2 linked regions of the Drosophila melanogaster genome follow. The gene in region 1 interacts genetically with each later gene. Each region holds a gene or a part of one and is shown on either strand. Other genes may lie near its edges. The genes, in order: Hsp27 and slbo.

The links.
Region 2: of Hsp27 (region 1) and slbo, changing one suppresses a phenotype caused by changing the other (phenotypic suppression), as found in Drosophila melanogaster (one study listed by BioGRID).

Annotation. Positions count from the first base shown.
Region 1 is NT_037436.4:9,379,346-9,388,221, reverse strand, and holds Hsp27 (heat shock protein 27), read right to left. Parts: upstream 4,160-8,876; 5' UTR 4,037-4,159; coding exon 3,395-4,036; 3' UTR 2,528-3,394; downstream 1-2,527. Other genes in the region: CG4080 (uncharacterized protein), read left to right, coding at 1-437; Hsp23 (heat shock protein 23), read right to left, coding at 5,664-6,224; Hsp67Ba (heat shock gene 67Ba), read left to right, coding at 8,783-8,876.
Region 2 is NT_033778.4:24,328,984-24,338,735, reverse strand, and holds slbo (slow border cells), read left to right. Parts: upstream 1-4,428; 5' UTR 4,429-4,965; coding exon 4,966-6,315; 3' UTR 6,316-7,214; downstream 7,215-9,752. UniProt on the Drosophila melanogaster protein: Required for the expression of gene products mediating border cell migration. Among the DNA sequences that this protein binds with high affinity is a conserved site within the promoter of its gene.

The sequences.
Region 1 (8,876 bases):
GTCCCGATACTGCCGTACATCCTTACGATTACAGCACGCCGCCAAAGATCGACTACCGTCACTCTGGGATAATGGGCGTTGATTTGCCCATTGGTTGCTGCACCACTGATTGTTTAGGTGGTCAGCCGACGAAGGAGGAACTACGTCGCTACTCGGATCCCAAGCTGAAGGCCGGCGAAGCGGATACCGTGCTGGATATCGACCTGCCCACATCGCCACTATCACCACCTGCCGCCTATGCCAGCAGCCAGCAGAAGCAGCGGAATTCCCATCAGCTTGTGATCTCCTCATCCTTTGACCGCGGAGTGAATGGGGTCAGCAGCAGCAAGAGCAGCAGGGGCTACGGTCCCTCGGACGCCCAGGTGGATCGCTCGCGGCTCAGTTTCAAGTCGTTGCCAAATCTCAGCAGCAGCTGTGAAAGTCTACTCCAGAAGTGAAATGGAGTATCCTGCCCAACTGATCTGATGTGATCCACTATGATCTGCGCGCTCTTTCTCCCCCCAATAAGCTCTGCTCTCTCAAGTATTCACCGCTGGTCGACGGAGACCCCGAGATCCACATAGAAAGTAAAATCGAAATACTATTTTTTATACCGCACACCAAGGGGCTTCAAAAGCCATATCGTGGCCAGCGGCCCAACAATCCCTATGTTCTCCTCTTTATATAGCAAAGCCCATAAACAATTTGAGACTGCAATGATTAACACAAAACACAAAAAAAAAAGTTAAGTTAAGTTATCTTAACATTTAGAACCAGTATATTGATTTAGTGGCTAAATCGATGTATAATTTATCCTCTATTCGTGTACTGCTTTTATTATCCAGCCTCTCCGATCCCATACCATATACATATATGTATGTCCACTAAGTTGTCCATGCCAAAAAGCCCAAAAACCAACCAGAGACGGTAATTATTTAGTCCATGTGTAGGATGTGTTTTGTTTCTTAACTTCTAAGTCAAATGAAATTTTAAAAAATTGATCTGTGATTAAGCGTCATTGAATATACATACATAACGTGCATAAATGCAAGCAAAAACATATTGACAGCAGCCGCAGCCGTAGAAAATGCAGAAAAATACATAAAATACATTTTTACTTAACATCAACTAAGATAAAACCAACAACAGCAACATGACAACCACTAAAAGCTTTTTCGCGGTTAACAGCGAAAGCTCCACGGAGCCGAGAAAACTGAGATATATCCGTATCTCAACACCCAGCTGAGAAATATGAATGAAAGCCGTTTTAGATATAGATATAGAATTAACAGTAAATACTTATGATCGCTACAAGTTACGAGCATAAAACAACCAATATGAAATCAGAACGGGCAACTAAATTTTTTATTATGTATTAAATATTTAAATAAATATGTGCAAACAATTGATTAAATTATTTAAATGTCGTTCTTATCTTGGATTTTCTTTCAGTGTGCGCGGAACTGGAAATATTTGCATGACGTTTGTCAAAATGTAATTGAAAAACAAAAATCATTTCCCATTTTTTTTTATATCGATTTCTGAATTGTGCAAAATCATTACAAATCATCATAACAATCGTCGACAAAGGTTAAGCAATTGGCTGACCATTTAATTTTCCACAAGTCCAATTCAAGGACAAGGAAAACAGAATATGTACATAAGACCCCTTGAAAGTTAACGACACCCAACAAAAGCCGGTTTACCCTAAATGCAAATACATTTGCAGATTCGAAGCTAAAAAGGAAAAAAAACCAACAAAAACTCGACAGCTGACTTCTTTTCGTGTATTTGTATTTATTGTATTCGTTTATTCACAAATGAAATGCAAAATTCTCCCGAGTGTTGCGCCTGTTCTTGTTACAAAAAGTATAAACTCAAAGGGAGCAATGAATCCTCCAGTTGTTTAGCCTAATAATACACACTAAAATTTTGTTTTTTTTATGCATTATGATAAATGGAGTTTAAAATCACTTAGTCTAGGATGTTATGATGATGATGTAATGATGTGATGTGTGTGAATGTAATACATTGGGTGTGTTGTGGTGTGTCCTTTTTAGTCTTGCTCTCTCCGAGCAGCGCGGCAACACTCCCGTTTCTTCTTTTAAATTCTTCTTTCTCTCGTGCTTCGGATGTGTTTTGTTTCTTAACTTCTAAGTCAAATGAAATTTTAAAAAATTGATCTGTGATTAAGCGTCATTGAATATACATACATAACGTGCATAAATGCAAGCAAAAACATATTGACAGCAGCCGCAGCCGTAGAAAATGCAGAAAAATACATAAAATACATTTTTACTTAACATCAACTAAGATAAAACCAACAACAGCAACATGACAACCACTAAAAGCTTTTTCGCGGTTAACAGCGAAAGCTCCACGGAGCCGAGAAAACTGAGATATATCCGTATCTCAACACCCAGCTGAGAAATATGAATGAAAGCCGTTTTAGATATAGATATAGAATTAACAGTAAATACTTATGATCGCTACAAGTTACGAGCATAAAACAACCAATATGAAATCAGAACGGGCAACTAAATTTTTTATTATGTATTAAATATTTAAATAAATATGTGCAAACAATTGATTAAATTATTTAAATGTCGTTCTTATCTTGGATTTTCTTTCAGTGTGCGCGGAACTGGAAATATTTGCATGACGTTTGTCAAAATGTAATTGAAAAACAAAAATCATTTCCCATTTTTTTTTATATCGATTTCTGAATTGTGCAAAATCATTACAAATCATCATAACAATCGTCGACAAAGGTTAAGCAATTGGCTGACCATTTAATTTTCCACAAGTCCAATTCAAGGACAAGGAAAACAGAATATGTACATAAGACCCCTTGAAAGTTAACGACACCCAACAAAAGCCGGTTTACCCTAAATGCAAATACATTTGCAGATTCGAAGCTAAAAAGGAAAAAAAACCAACAAAAACTCGACAGCTGACTTCTTTTCGTGTATTTGTATTTATTGTATTCGTTTATTCACAAATGAAATGCAAAATTCTCCCGAGTGTTGCGCCTGTTCTTGTTACAAAAAGTATAAACTCAAAGGGAGCAATGAATCCTCCAGTTGTTTAGCCTAATAATACACACTAAAATTTTGTTTTTTTTATGCATTATGATAAATGGAGTTTAAAATCACTTAGTCTAGGATGTTATGATGATGATGTAATGATGTGATGTGTGTGAATGTAATACATTGGGTGTGTTGTGGTGTGTCCTTTTTAGTCTTGCTCTCTCCGAGCAGCGCGGCAACACTCCCGTTTCTTCTTTTAAATTCTTCTTTCTCTCGTGCTTCGCCAGCGAATCTCGTCGTCTTCTTCCTCCTTCACGACTTCTTCCTCTTCTAGTCTTCTTCCTCTTCTCGTCTTCTTCATCTCCTAGTCTTCCTCTTTTCGTCTTTTACTTGCTAGTCTCCATTTTCTCGCCGCTGCCATTTTCGGCTTTTCCATCGCCAGCCTCGGGTGCCGGTGCCTTGACGCTCAAATGGGCAGGCCCCGTTTGCTGGATCTGGACAATGCGCTCCGACTTGGCCTGTTCCTTGCTGGGCGGCGGCGGGGCCTTGAGGGTCAGCACACCGTCGGATGAGACAGTGGACACTACCTCGTTGGGGTCAAAGCCCTTGGGCAGGGTATACTTGCGCACAAAGTGACGCTGGATCATTCCATGGCCGTCCTCGCGCTCCTCGTGCTTCCCCTCTACCACCACGGTGTTGTCCACCACCTTGACGGTCAGCTCGTTGGGCTTGAACTGCGACACATCCATGCACACCTGGAAGCCATCTTTGCCCACGGCGGGCAGCAGAGCGTTTGGACCCCCCGACGCGCGACGTGACATTTGATTGTGGTGGCCATGGCTCCTCTCGTACGGCGAATAACGACGACGACCCAGTCCCAGGGTGTTGGGCAGTAGCAGGCGACGCGGATGGAACAGATCGTGGGCATGGACGCCAAAACCGAAGTCATCCTCCAGCAAATGCCCCCAGTCGGTGCGGTAGTCATGATCCAACTCCCGGGCCAAGTGCAGCAGTGGTATAATTGACATTTTTGATTTTTTTTCTCTTTATTCACAACCCTGTCTAGACAAAGGAATTTTTTTTGCTTTTTCGAATTTTTTTAGCGAAGTTTGCTTCAACGTTTGCCTTCAATTTTTCAGTTTAGACTGTGCTCGGGCGACGTTGACGCCGGCTTTTATACTGACGCTGGGCTCACACACACTAGTGCATGGCAACCAGGGACGGAACTTTAATAAAATGATGGGGGGTTGCCATCTTCGTTAGATTTTGCCTGCAGAGAAGGTTTTCCCTATGATCCCCTAATGCAAATATAATAATATTTAGATATAGGCAAGCAATTATTAGCCTGTCAAACTTAAAATTTAAGCGACATTTAAAAGCCCCTTTGAATACGCCCCGTAATTCAACAAACAGTTTTCTCTCGCATCTTCTGGCTCTTTCTAGCACAGCCGGCTTTTCATAGAGAGAGGGAGAAAGAACCAGAAACTTCTTGACATTTCTTTTCTGGGGAGTTTCTCTTTGCGAATAAAAAGCAAAACGAACAGTTAAAATGCAGTACATACATATGTATGTACATGTACGTATATATGCAGATATATGTATTTATTTAAAGCATTTTCTTCTCTTATCGCTCTTTTAAAAGCTGTCTTTTCAGAGTGCAACAGAGCTTGTATTTTCATTGGACAAGTGCATTGAACCCTTGTCTCGCTTCGTTCTGCTCCTCATGTTTGCCGTTCTTTTGTTTGTTGCAAACATTTTTGCAGTTGCTTTCGCCACTGCTTCGCGAAGTGGGAAACGGGGCAATTGAAAATTTTGCAAATCATTGCCAGTCTGTTGCAAGTGTTTCGATTATTATATGTACATATGCATACATTTCTATATATATGTATATGTGTATATAGAATCTTTTTATTCTTGGTTCACCAGTTAACCAAAATACATAATTATTTTCAAAACTACATGCATACATACATATGTATGTGTATGTGTGCATGCACGTAATTATTTGCGGTAACATACAAAAATGAAGTTCAATTTATACATGTACATAGGTACGTGCTATAAGGACGTACATAACGTACATCTCTTGTAGAGATGACAGAAATTCATTAAAAAGAAGAGAGTGAAAAGGGATGTATATTCTTATGTACGTATGTATGTACATGATGTACTTATGCATGCTTTACATAAGGATTTAACCTTGACTGAAGTTCCTTACATTCATAGCTTCAAGTCTCTTTACCGAAGTAATGTAAAAAGTCAGTTATGTACACAAACAACAATTAAATAAAAATGCCATTTTACGTGACACAACAATGCAATATACAATGCAGAAAGTAAATTCTAGAAACCGGGATCACAGGAAAAAGGGCCAAGCTAGCCAAACAATTCCCAAAGTAATAGTAATAGTAACCCATAACCAACCAGAAAAACAGACCAAACACAATTATAAGTAAGTGTACTTGTTATTTATTTTTATGGGTAATATTAATTTCGCCAATTTAGTAATACATATTCCAAACTAAGATTAAAGCAGGACACCCTTAATGGCTATTGTGTATGAGTGAAGTGTCCTTGGATAACTACAGCTTATAAAACAGATGTATGACTTTGATAATGGTTAAATAATGCAGGGCATCTCTCGGAACGAGTCCTCTACTTATCGTTGCCATTGTCCTGCTCCACCGCCTCCTTGGGATTCTCCTTCACATTGAGATGGGCGGGTCCCACCTGCTGGATCTGAACGATGCGCTCGTTGCCCTTATCCTCGATTGCCGGTGGCTTGGGCACCTTGATGGTCAGGACACCATCGGAGGACAAGGTGGAGGCCACCTTATCAGCCTCATAACCGGGTGGCAGAGCATAGCGGCGGACAAAGTGACGAGTGATGAAGCCATGGTCATCTTCGCGCTCCTCATGGTTGCCCTCCACCAGGACGGAGTTGTCCTGCACTTTGACCACCAGTTCGCTGGGCTTGAAGTGCGACACATCCATGCAGACCTGGAAGCCATCCTTTCCGATTTTCGACACGGCTCCCGACGATCCCGACGAGGCGCCCACCTGTTTCTCCAGCTGGCGCAGCTGCTGCTCCATCGGTCCAACCAGGGCCAAGTAGGGATTCCTCTGGCGCTGGCAGTAGTAGGGCTCATAGAAGGGCACCATCGACATTCGGCCCAAATCGTCGGCAAGGCTCAACAACAATGGAATATTTGCCATTTTTGTTTTTTAATTGCTTCAAGATGATTCTCCTTCAAAGAATAAACTTCTTTTGTTGATAGGTTACTTTCGCTTTAGCTGTTATCGCTTTGGCTTTTTGAATTCAACTGACGCCGGTTGCACGAAAGTGCCGGTTATTTATACAACCGCTCGCTATCGTAGTGTGCGTGCGCCCGTCGGCGCTGTGTGTGTGCGCGTCGTGTCTGTGTGCTAGGGGGCACAAACATCGACATCGAGAAGGGACACGAAACTTCTCGGGCTGAAAATATCGCAGAGTTCTCGAATTTGCCGCAATTACGCATTATCTGCCATTGAAAGTGAGAGTATCGCTATGGAAAATGAGCAATCTCCTAGGGGAGTGGGAATGAAAAGGCCTGGTGGAGTGATAAGTCGCATCAGCACCGGCAAATATTATGTGTATGTATAGATGTACGTATGTAAGCACGTATGTATGTACATACATAGCAGATAGGAAGGTTGGAGTATATTCCACGAAGGATGGAGTAAATTCGCGAAACTTCGAGACTGCAGAACAGTTCTTCTTTTTATGGCCTGGCATTTAAGCTATTAACTTTAATTAATATCCAAGAATGGGGCTCTGTAGTGGGGAAATCTAATTAAAATACATAAGTGGTTAATGCCGGGTAGGTAATAACCCATGGGATGTAAGCGTATTATTACTCCAATCAGTAAGAAAATGTAAAAATGATACGATTTGGAACATATGTACATTCATACAATAAAGGATTCGAAGGATGTAAAAATTATTTGAATAAAATGTAATGCAACTATTTTGAATTTCAAAGGTCGATAGATGAAAACATAAACCAAAAAACATTAAAAACATTTAATAAATTCTAATAGTCAATATTTGGTTTATTGAAAACGAGGCTGTAACCTTTTATTATATTTGACCAATTTCTTAAGACAAATACATATGTATGTATGTAAGATTTAGCTGCACATTTGCTTGGTACAACTTGATAAATATTCAGCTTATATACACATTGTTTAGAATTCAGAATTACTTCGTAATAACCAAATCAAATGACAATTTGTTTACAATTTGTTGTTACAGTAGCGATTGAATAACCATATAATACATGGGCATTGCTATAGAACTCAATCTCTGGTTGTTATATAATTCGAGTTTTTATTTATGGCCCCATTTTCTTGTCACCACTCCTCCTCCACTGAAGTAGAGTACTCTTGGTGCCCAGGGCTTGGACAATCCAACGCCAACGCAGTGGAAGTTGTCTATTCAAAAAGGTGGCCACATAATGTGCGAGCATGCTCGTCCGGCGGATTTCTTCCCCTTGGTTAGGTAAATGGGAGCAAGTACCCAGTGTGTATGTACATGGGGAATGTATCGTATGTACAAGGGGGCATCTCGTACGCAGCAATCTCTGAAGGTTTTTGCTCTTTTCCGACTGCAGCTGGCAGATACACCATATCAATACAAACATACTATATAATATAATATATGGCCATACAGAATTGTATCCCGCAGCTGAGTTCGGGGCCCCAGTAAATTTTTAGCAAAGTCTCCACTGTCTGGCCCCCGTCTGGATGTTGTTGGTGTTGTTGTTGTTTTTTGCATTTTGGAGCTTTTCAACCGGTTGCCATCGCTTGCACTTGGCTATGTAACCACATACGAATCCAGCAATATCATCATCATCTGTGTGGCAGGGTATGTATGTATGTATGTAGATACAAATGTATATGGAGATACCATATGTATGGGTTGCCCCAGACGCTGTCACTGCGCATGTTTACGCGACGCCGGCTTGCCAATCCTCCAGCTCTGGCAACAGCGGATTTGTAGCTTCCAGGCGGCCCTGCCAGCCAGCCAGCCAGCCAGCTGTTGTTGTAGTTGTTTATCGCCGGCGACTCGAATCCGCATCGGCAACCGGCACGAGACTCAGACTCTCAGCTGTTCGCTCAATGCCGGCAGTGGGAATTCAGCTGCAACACGACCACTTTACATATACCCCGTCTATATGGATATTTGTATATATGAGTACATATATGTATATCGCCGGTACAAGGAAGATGGCATCTCTTGGGGGGGATATTCGTGCATATATGCTTCGATTTCAAGCCGGTTTGCCTCTTTTACGTATCTTTTTTATTTGGTTTTGCAACGTTGCAGTTTGGTTTGTCTGGTTTCTTGCCGACTACGAGTACGAGTACTTTCTTTGTTCTCTGGCTATCTGCGGTAGAGGAAAAGTATCTCTTATTTCGGTGTATATAGCAGAAAATGGCATAGTACATGGCTTGACTGACTGTTTTAATGGGTAGCCCTTCCCCTTGGTGAGTTCTCTGGAGGAGTTGCATAGTTTTTCGCCTGGGAGCTGGCATGGAAGCCGACTGGAAGTGACCAGGTTTTCCATTCAGCGCTGCACAGCCGCTTAAAAGCGTCGACATTCAGCCATAAGGGCTCAAACGCAGTCCAGTTGGAGGCCAGAACGGATCGCCGCCGGTTCCCAGACGACACCAATCCCCGCAAGACCTAAAAAATAAAAGATATATCTTAGCCAGATAGGAAGAAAGTGAAAATGTCGCTGATACCGTTCATACTAGATTTGGCCGAGGAGCTGCACGATTTCAATCGCAGCCTGGCAATGGATATAGATGATTCGGCCGGATTCG
Region 2 (9,752 bases), on another chromosome or scaffold:
GATTCAGACTGCCAGTGCGACTTGGGGTTAAAATTCCTGGACTCGGCGATGCTTGGCGTTTTTTTGTGCTGTTGCTTTTCAACTCTCTCGGCACTCGGCAGCATTTTAAAATTACAAGTATGTAATTTTGCTGAAATCAAGCGCTCATATGAAAATTCCACTGGCAGTGCAGAAGCTGTCGATCGATCGCCCGATCGATCTCGTTCTCGTTCCCGATCTCAAACTCGCGGGCAATTGTGGGGCATTTTTAATTTGTGCCCGGCTTTGACTTTTGCCTGGAAATCAGAGCAGTGGTCGGAGTCGCCTGGAAGCGGACTGTGCGACCTTATCGCGCCCACTGTGCGCAAATGCACAAATGCACAAATGCACACACAAAATGTCAATTCTGCGCACGTCGCTTCACCAGGCATCCCAATCAGTCGTGCCCCGGCCACTATGCGGCCCCCCAATCCCCACCAGAGTCCGCAAGGGGGTGGACCAGCGGACTCTGGCCAGGCTCCTTGGCCTCTGGCCGGCCTGGCAGCTCGTCATCATTATCTCTGCGCTCTGCCAACATCACAAATAATATGAGGAAGGCACAAAAAGGCAACACAATCGAGGGCCCAAGAGCCGGTCACTCACTGTTGGCCTGCAAATAAACTATTTCAATCAATGCGTTTGTCGTCGGGCCATCGATCGCATGCCAAAGGTAGTTAGGCATCCCATAGGATGAGTTGTGGGCTCATCGGGCTGCTTTTTCGATGTATTTTCGAGGATCGGGCGATGGGCAGCATGGAAATGGGCGCAAAGGTGAGAGGCGAACAATAAATACCAACGCTCAGCTTACAATTTACTTAAGAAATTTCAAAAATTCCCTCGGATCGTATATAAAATACTTTTGTTTTTATCAATACTATACATAAGTCTTTTTACCTAATATAAATGATTAAAATATATTACTTGCCGTATTTTCAGATTTTGAATTGCATGAATTGGCGCCAACTGACAAGCAGGTCACCTTTCCCAAGCAGTGCACCATATACTCATAACTTCTTGCCTAGATGGCGCCACATAAGTTATCGGAGAACTTTTAAGCAAGCAGTATACCTATCGATATAAAACTGCTTTACAAGCGCTGCTTAAATTCAAATTCAAATTGTTCAAACGTATTTTAACTTTCTACGCGCCATTTGCTAATAGCTTTGAAAATAAGTAGTAAGTTAATATATGCTTAAGTTTTACATAATTTTTAAAATAGATTTTATTGTTATAAATATAATTACACATGGACAACAATGAAACAAAATGATGTTTTAAAATTTGATTAGATTAAAATATAATAATTGAAATATTTGTTATTTTTGGTTGAACTCGATGGCTCGCGCGTTTTATTCTCACGCTCCTATTAATTGGCAAGACTTTTCTAAGCAGCGGGCAGCGAAAAGTTTTCGCCGAAGAGCCGACTTTCATTGCCGAATCGCCTCGCATCAGCACTAAATATTATTAATTTCTGTACTCATCAGCACACGGCGACAGGGAACGGGCTCGTTTTCTGTGGAAGTAGAGTCAGAATTACAGAAGTGAAGCGCAAAAGCACGAGAATCCCCTTTGGAAAAGAGTTTGGGGTCGTCGAACTGGTTGCATTTAAATGGTGTTAAGTACACTGCAATTAGGTGGAAACCACCGGAGTTTTGGCTAACTGGGTTTTGTGAAAAGTATGAACTTATCTGCTGCGATGAGTCAATAAAGAAGCGTACTTATGGAATTAATATCTATTCTATCAGTACAAAATTCACCGCACCAAAACAAAAAAGCTTCCTAGAAAGGTCTTTCCTATAAACAAGGCCGTGAGAATGAAGCGAGTGTGTAACCCAACCCCATCGACTCGAGTTCACTTCGATTGAGCTCGGATTTGAGGAAGTGCAGAGTTAAATTGGCTACGCGTCATCGAGATAAGTTGACTGCGAGTGGCGAATAAAATGAAGACAAAACAAAACACAACGCCGTCTAGAAATCATTGGCCAAAACTCCCAATTATGGCCGTGTTTATAAACACAATTCAGTCGGAGTTTCGCATGTGTCAGACAACTTTTTGCAGAGTGCAACGAACGCCAGTTGTGAATTGTGAATTGTGGCCGCTACTCGTATTTGTTTTGTTTACGAATTCGCGGCTTTTGGCCGTCTTATCAGTCGTTTGCCAAAATATATAAATAAAACTCTTAGGCACTTTGCGCGTGGGCGTTGTCGACGGCAGATAAATACGCCTACAATTTCCCTTTTGGGAAAACGCTGAAATGGATCAAGGTGATAAAGAGCTGCTTATCTGCTAGACTTTCTCCAAGTTTGGTATCAATGGGTAAATATCTATGATTTATGCTAGCATCTCTATGAATACCCTACTCAATTTTAAAAAGTGAAATTACTGGGGGCCAATGGTATTTGCGTTTTTAATCTTATCAGGGCTAACACCTTCTTGTTGGCCAAAGGGCTGGTATTTATAGCCAGTCCACCTACTTGCTAATTTGAAGTGTTTTTTTTTTAAATTTATTTTAAAAAATTTATGCTTTCAAGTTTTTATAAATAGGTAACTTTAGGTAAGCCTTGGACGATTCCAGTTAGCAGGAGGATAAGCAAATAAATAAATGACTTTGCTTTGCTTTAATCCCATTTAACCAGTAGTTTCTCCATAAACAATCTGATAAGATAAGGTGCACATGGATCGATCTTGCCTCATTTAAATTGCAGATTTCATCACCTTTCCCATCGATCGATATGGAATCAGTTCTTGGGTAACCAGACCGCACAATGCAATCCCCCAAGAACAATAAGGGTGCGTTGAATGCGTTTTGAAATACACCCGACCAGAAGAATATCTTTGTGGACGCACAAGGAAGCACTTTTGCACAATCTCGATGCAGTCATCGATATCGGCGATATTTCCGATTCGCTGCAATAGCTTGACTGATAAGCGAAGAAAAGTGGCTGTCCTGTCATCGACAGCGGAATACCCTCTTATCGTGCAACGGCGCACGGGGCGTATGATTAATAAAGTCCGGGTAAACAAAAGGTACATACACGAAGGCAGAAGACGGGGGCGAGAGGCGGGGCCGAAAGCAGGGGACGCACCTTCGGAAAGTAAACGACAACTTGACCCAAATTGCAGACTCGAAAACTCAGGAGAGTCAGCAGAGTGAGCAGAGTTAGCGGAGTGAGCACCAAGCAGAAGAGCGCCAATGGGGGAAAAGTGGAGAAGGCGACTTCACAAATCGCTGCATTTAAATAAACAAAACTACGAGCCGTGCTAATTTTTATGAATTTCATAACACAGTCTTAATTTTAATAAGACGTCGCTGCCTATTACGTGAAAGCTCCGCGATGCGTTGCGCTTCCACTGCGCAGTCACGCATGCGCGCCAAAAACAGGCCCCAATCCCCAAGCCCCCAATCCCCCGATCCACCAAGTAACTGCACTTCTGTGTTTTTTTTTGCTTTTCTGTATTTCTAAGGCGCAAAGCGAGTCGAAGCCCAAACACAAATCGGAGTGGGCAAGGCCCCAAAATGGGGGTCGGGGGTTACGCAGCGGAGTGCCGGTGTGTGCGGGCGTGGTGTTGTTGCTTCTCGCTGCGGCTGTGCGGCTCTTCTCCCAAAAAAAGCAAAAGCGACGGAACCGAAAATGAAAATGAAAACGAAAGCGAGAGCCAAGGAATAATGAGCGCTGGCTGCGCTGCCGACGTCGCGCGCTGCTGGTGTCTGTGCTCGCTTGAGCTTGTGTGGGTGCCTTGGGGCTCCCTTTTGTGTGACGTCACGCGATCGTGCGTTGCATTGAGTTTTATCATGAAATTCACTGCATCAGCGCATAACTAATACTGGATTCTAGGATGGGGTCTTAATTAAACAATTAATATCTAAACTAATATCTAAACTAACTTATGTGGAACATGTATAAATGTAATAAATTCTATATAAAAAATGTAATTATCCTATCAAATATGATATTAAGTTCCGGAAACTGAAGAAGTATCTCCCAGCTTCGTACCAAATGCACTTTGCTTGCATTCGTGCTTTTGGCCCGCACAGCAACCACAAGAATGGCCCAGTGAATTGCCTTGCGACGAGAGTAAAAGTGATTGGGAAAACTCTTGCTTTTTTACCTGATCGCGGCTCTCGCTCTCATCCACAGGTAGTTGCCTTTGCCTTTGCCTGGCTTACTTGTGCTTTGCCTGCTCTTGCTTTGCTTTTGCTCTGCTCGTGCTGTGCTGTGCTGCTGCCGCCTTTGCTTTGCTGTAACGGCGACGGCGACGGCAACGCTTGGGGCTTCGGTGTGGAGCGGTACGAGTGAATGTGTGTGTGTGTGTGTGTTACATGCGCTGGCCGCTCATTTTCTTTTTCTTCGGCTGCGTCGCTGCGCCAAAGACTTTTTCACTTTGCCGCGTTCGCGTTCGCGTTTTGTCACAGTTACAATTTACCACTCGTCGGCGACGGACGCGCGCTCTCCGCTGGCCAAGAAAATCCAAATCGAAGAAAAGCTCGCTCAGCTAACGGTTCTTCAGGAGCGTTTCTAACACCAGCACACGTACGTGTACGAGTACGAGAGTACTAGCCAACGGCAGTCGTCAGGCCGTCTCGTATAAAATCTGTTGCATCACTGCCGCGGCACTTCAGTCGTTCGAACGCGTGCGGCCGGAGAAGTGCAGTGTCGAGTTAACAAAGTAAACAAACTGAATAAAACATTTTGCGCTAAGAATCGGAAACATAATAAGCAATAGTACGATGCTCGGCTGCAGTGACCACCCAGGCAGCCTAAGATGAAGCATACGGAATAGCGAGCTATCCGAGTCGAACATTTCCAAAGACCCACTTCTTACCTCAGTGCAATGCTTTAGGCGCCAAACGAGCAAAAGTTTATTCCCAAATCTGAACTCTAAAAACAGCCAAAATTAACGCTCTACAAGGAATCAAGATTCTACCCTCCTTCGCGCAACTGAAAATGCTGAACATGGAGTCGCCGCAGATGTACGCCGATGCCGTTCAGACATTGGCCCAGCTGGACCTCAAGAAGGAGCCTCCCCTGCAGCAGGCCACCATTGGCCAGATCACACTGACGGCCATGTCCACGGCGCAGCAGCAGCAGCAACAACAGCAGCAGCAACAGCAGCAGCAACAGCAGCAGCAACAACAGCAGCAGCAGCAACCCCAGCAGCAGACTACCGATGCGAACAACAACACGTCGCAGGACGCGGCACTCCTGGTCAAGCAGCACGCCATGCACCAGATGCAACAGGTCGCCGCATTGGGCAGCAACAACAACCTGCTGCAGAAGCAGATGCTGCAGCAGTACTCCACTCAGACGGACCTGGACGAGCTGACCACCCAGGAGATCACGCTCGACCTGCAGCACCTGATAGACGACCAGTTCAGGGACACGGAAACGCTGGGCATCTTCAGCGACATGGTGACCAGTCCGGGCGGACTCTCGGCCACCCTGCCGCCGAGCGGAATGGTCTCGGCGGCGGCGAAGGTCCTGCAGCAGCAGACCCTGCGGAACCAGCACGGCTACGGGGGCAGGGGAGGCGGTGGCGGAGCAGGAGGCGCCCTGGCCTACATGCCGCAGCCCGTGCACGCCACCTACAACAATTCCAGCGACGAGAACAGCTCCGTGGGCTCCGACTCCAGCACGATCAAGGAGGAGCCCATCGACCCCGAGTACAGGCGGCACCTGCAGGAGGCGGCTAGCCAGCAGGCCGCCTTCATGGGCAATGGAGCAGGCCTGTACAACGGCTACGGATCGGGGGCGAATGGCTTGACCGGGGGCGGAAACCCACTCAACGGAGGCAACACCACGCCCAGCAGCAACGGGAGCAACGGCAGCACGGGCAGCAGCAACGGCAGCCAGTTCACCAACCTGACGACGGCCAACGTCCTGGCGCACCACAACCTGCCCCACCTGGCGGCCGCAGCAGGAGCACACAATCTGCTCAAGCAGCACAGCAAGCTGCACGCGCAGCAGCAGCATCAGCAGCACCAGCAACAGCAGCAGCACCGCAAGCACAGCAACAAGCATGTGGACAAGGGCACGGATGAGTACCGCAGGCGGCGGGAGCGGAACAACATAGCGGTGCGCAAGAGCCGGGAGAAGGCTAAGGTGCGCTCCCGCGAGGTGGAGGAGCGCGTGAAGAGCCTGCTCAAGGAGAAGGACGCCCTCATTCGGCAGCTTGGTGAGATGACCAACGAGCTGCAGCTACACAAGCAGATCTACATGCAGCTAATGAACCACGCCAATCCCGAAGTGAGCCGCGTCTGCCGCAGCTTCCTCAACACCAACGAACACTCGCTGTAGCCGCTGCCAGCTAAAGCCAGTGTCCTGCGAGTTCTGTGTGTGCGTGAGTGCTTGAATGCTTGAGTGCTCGTGTGTGTGTGTGTATGAGTGTGTGAGTGCTCCAGCCGTAAGTGTGTGCGTGTGAGCGAGACTCTGCTAAATCAAAGATACAAATGCTGTGTGGGTAGCTCGTAAGGTTCATTCTCCTCCTGCTCCTCATTGTCCTCTCTGGCCGTAGACGATGGAGCGGTCGCGCCAAGTTGGTGGGCCGCTGCATCGCTTGGAGACCAAACTCTTCTGCCGATCGCTGTGGCATTCCTTGTACATTTACTCTGTCCCCATTTCTTGTTATCACTGTAAAGCATATTTTTGTACTTAATTCTAATTCTTAACGACTGTAACATATATATTTCGCACGTTTTTATACATAATCTTATACATTATATCTATCATAAAGTTAAGCCAAAGAAAAATGTTAAAAATATTAATGTAAAAAAGAATAACACGCAGGAACGAAGAACGAAAATACAAACTTCAAAACCTATTAACTATTTATACATCTAATTCAAATGTGTACAGTTCTCGACGGTGTGCGGCTTCGCTCTATGCTTGATGCCACGCCCACTCCCACGCCCAGCCCTGCTTGACACACAACATTAGCAAATCTCTAGTTCGTAAGTCGGAGAATCAAGCATCGCTTTACCTGCACAATCCCCAGAGGAAAGCCTCCCGAAATCAACCAACTTGTAGCGAATTCCACGGGTTCGCTTCCGAGAGCGTAGAAGATATGAATGCTATTAATTGTAAGGCAAACGCAATGTTCTCATTTTAATTTATATATTCGTAAATTAAATATACACAAACAAAGAAAACTGTAAAGCAAATCTAAACAAATTAAATAAAATTTACCTTATACAAAGAATCGGCTTGTCGTGCGTTTTGACTAAAACCCAAATGAATTTCAGATAACTTCTTAATTTCCACAGTTCAACTACCAATCTGCAATTAGCCCTAGCCACAATTTGATGCAAAAGCCCTGCCAAAAAGTGTCTAATTAAATGTCGGCCATACTTGGGCGACAAAACGATACGCTGGGCGAAGACCAGAAAGAGACGCACCACCACCGCATTGGGAGGGCAGGGTCTTTCTTCTGTCCGCCGTCTTCTGTCTTCGCTGTCTTCGCTGTCTTCCGATGGGACAAATACGACAAGGCAATGCATTTCGGGCTGCCAGGCGCGACACTGGGCCAATTGCAGGGAGGAAGGAGGGCGAAGTGGAGGACCCCAGACAATCGCAAGGCGGCCGTGTTGACACAATTTGACAGTAAGACAAACCCGAAACGAAAAGCAAATTTATAAACGACAAAGCGAAAAAGAATTAATGCAACTCGAGAAACCGACAAATTAACGCGCCAGAGAAAGCCCAAACAAAAGCCACAGAGCCACGGAGCCAGAGAGCCAAAAAACGCATGCCGACCTGGGGCAGATAATCACTTACAGACATTTGGGCTCGGGCTAAGCCCTTTTGGTCAAAACTTTCTTTCCATCCGTATCTGTATCTTGGCCAACTGCTGCTGCTGCTGCTGCTGCTGCGTGCGTCCAATTTGTCTAGCTGCATTGTTGAGCACTTTGATTGATGAAAGCTAATTGCGCATGCACTCTGGGCCCAAAAGTGAAATTGCTTCGAACTTGTGGGTGTCGCTCGGTAGCCACAAACCGCAGCCACAACCGAAATCCATCCCAATCCCATTTAAGCCTGACTTTGATAAGGGTTCTAAGCAGCTTACGGAGAAAGTTCGCCCCCTGCAGCGGGATTCCTGCCGAATGCCGAATGCATCTGCGTTTTGGCAAGCGCTCAGAAATTGCCGCACAATTACTGCCCAACTAGGCGCCGCGGCAACGAGGCGTATGAGTTATGAGCGGCGGCAGCGAGAAGTGATAAATTCGCGACTCGCAACTGCAACGGGCAGACGAGGCAGCAAACACACTTCTTTCTGTCTCACCTGTACGCCGCGCTGATAAATGCTAATTGCCGCCATGAAAGAAGGCTGGGACACTTAACGACGGGCAAAGAGATTTATGAAGGAATTAATAAAGATTCTATTAAGTATGACAATAATTAGGATTTTATAAGATTAGCATCAGTTTTTTATTCGCTTACATATCCAAACAGAATATATTGAATCATATGCCAAAGTAACTGGATATCAATGGAATCAACACTAATCACAGATACGATGTTGGGTTACATGATCGAGCTTAAGCTTGGCAGATTGGACCTCCAATCAGCTTCAGCTCCAGCTCCAGATCCCGGTTTCAATCCATCTCGATTCCGTTGTCATCCAATCCATCTTTCACACTCCAGTTCCACTTCGTCCGCTCCGCATTGTTGTGGCTCCAACATCTCGACTTTAGCTGCAGCGACTATAAAAACCATAACGGAAAAAGTGGGTTACTTCACTTTTATTTTCGTGCCGCAAGAAACAGAGAGATAGAGAGAGAGAGAGAGAGAGGGAAGAGTTCGAGGGAAAGAGAGAGGCAGAGACCAACTTTACATCTATTCATCTATCTCTATTTTTCTTTTTAGCACAGATTGAGTAATAGTTAGTTGTTTGGCTTATATCTTAGAGCCGGGCTTCGTTCCCTCTCCTTTGTGCTGCCGTTCGCCTGGCAACGACGATCGTGTGGCCAACGCGGTGGTTTCACTTTCTATGCCGACTCCGACTTCGACGCAGACTGACTTTTGCTATCTAATACAGCCGCCGCAACAACAATGGCCCATCTAGCTCCACTCGAAGAAAAGTTGAGCTGCAAAAGGAGAACCAACTGTCATGAATATTTTTAAGATATTTGAGCACAAAGTATTTGAATTTTTCCTGTGCAAGTCAAGCTCCTGCCACCTAAAATATGCAACATATTCACTTTAGCCCCTCTTCTCGCAGTGTAGCACCACAATCTTTTTCTTCGCGCTTTGTTGTTTTCCCTCCACAATACATTGACTATTTTCTTTTCGACGACGCCATACGCCATACGCCATCATGTTGGACCGATCGCATAGTGTAAAAGCAGACTCGGGGAGCCAGGCTAAAAAGCCAGCTGAAGCTCTGGCTGGCTGAGATTCGGCTCCGCTCTCGTAGGAACGGCATGTATCTGCGCTTGTATCTGTATCTGCATCTGTGAGTGTATCTGTGGCCGAGTGTGGGGGTTATGTAATGGGCCAAGCCGAGTGCTGTTGTTGCTGCTTTAAAGATGCCTTTTCTTTTGTTGGGCTGTCTGCTCTGCCTGATGACCAAGTTAAGATATTATGTTCGTTATGTTGCGCTTATTAACGTGGCCCACAAAAATTGTTTAGCGTTTTGTTTTGCCTAAACGAATTTTCCGTTATAAATCAAGCGAGCTACGCGAAATAGAGACATTTGCTACGATGGCCAGATGGTAAATCATCGAATAGATTGTGCA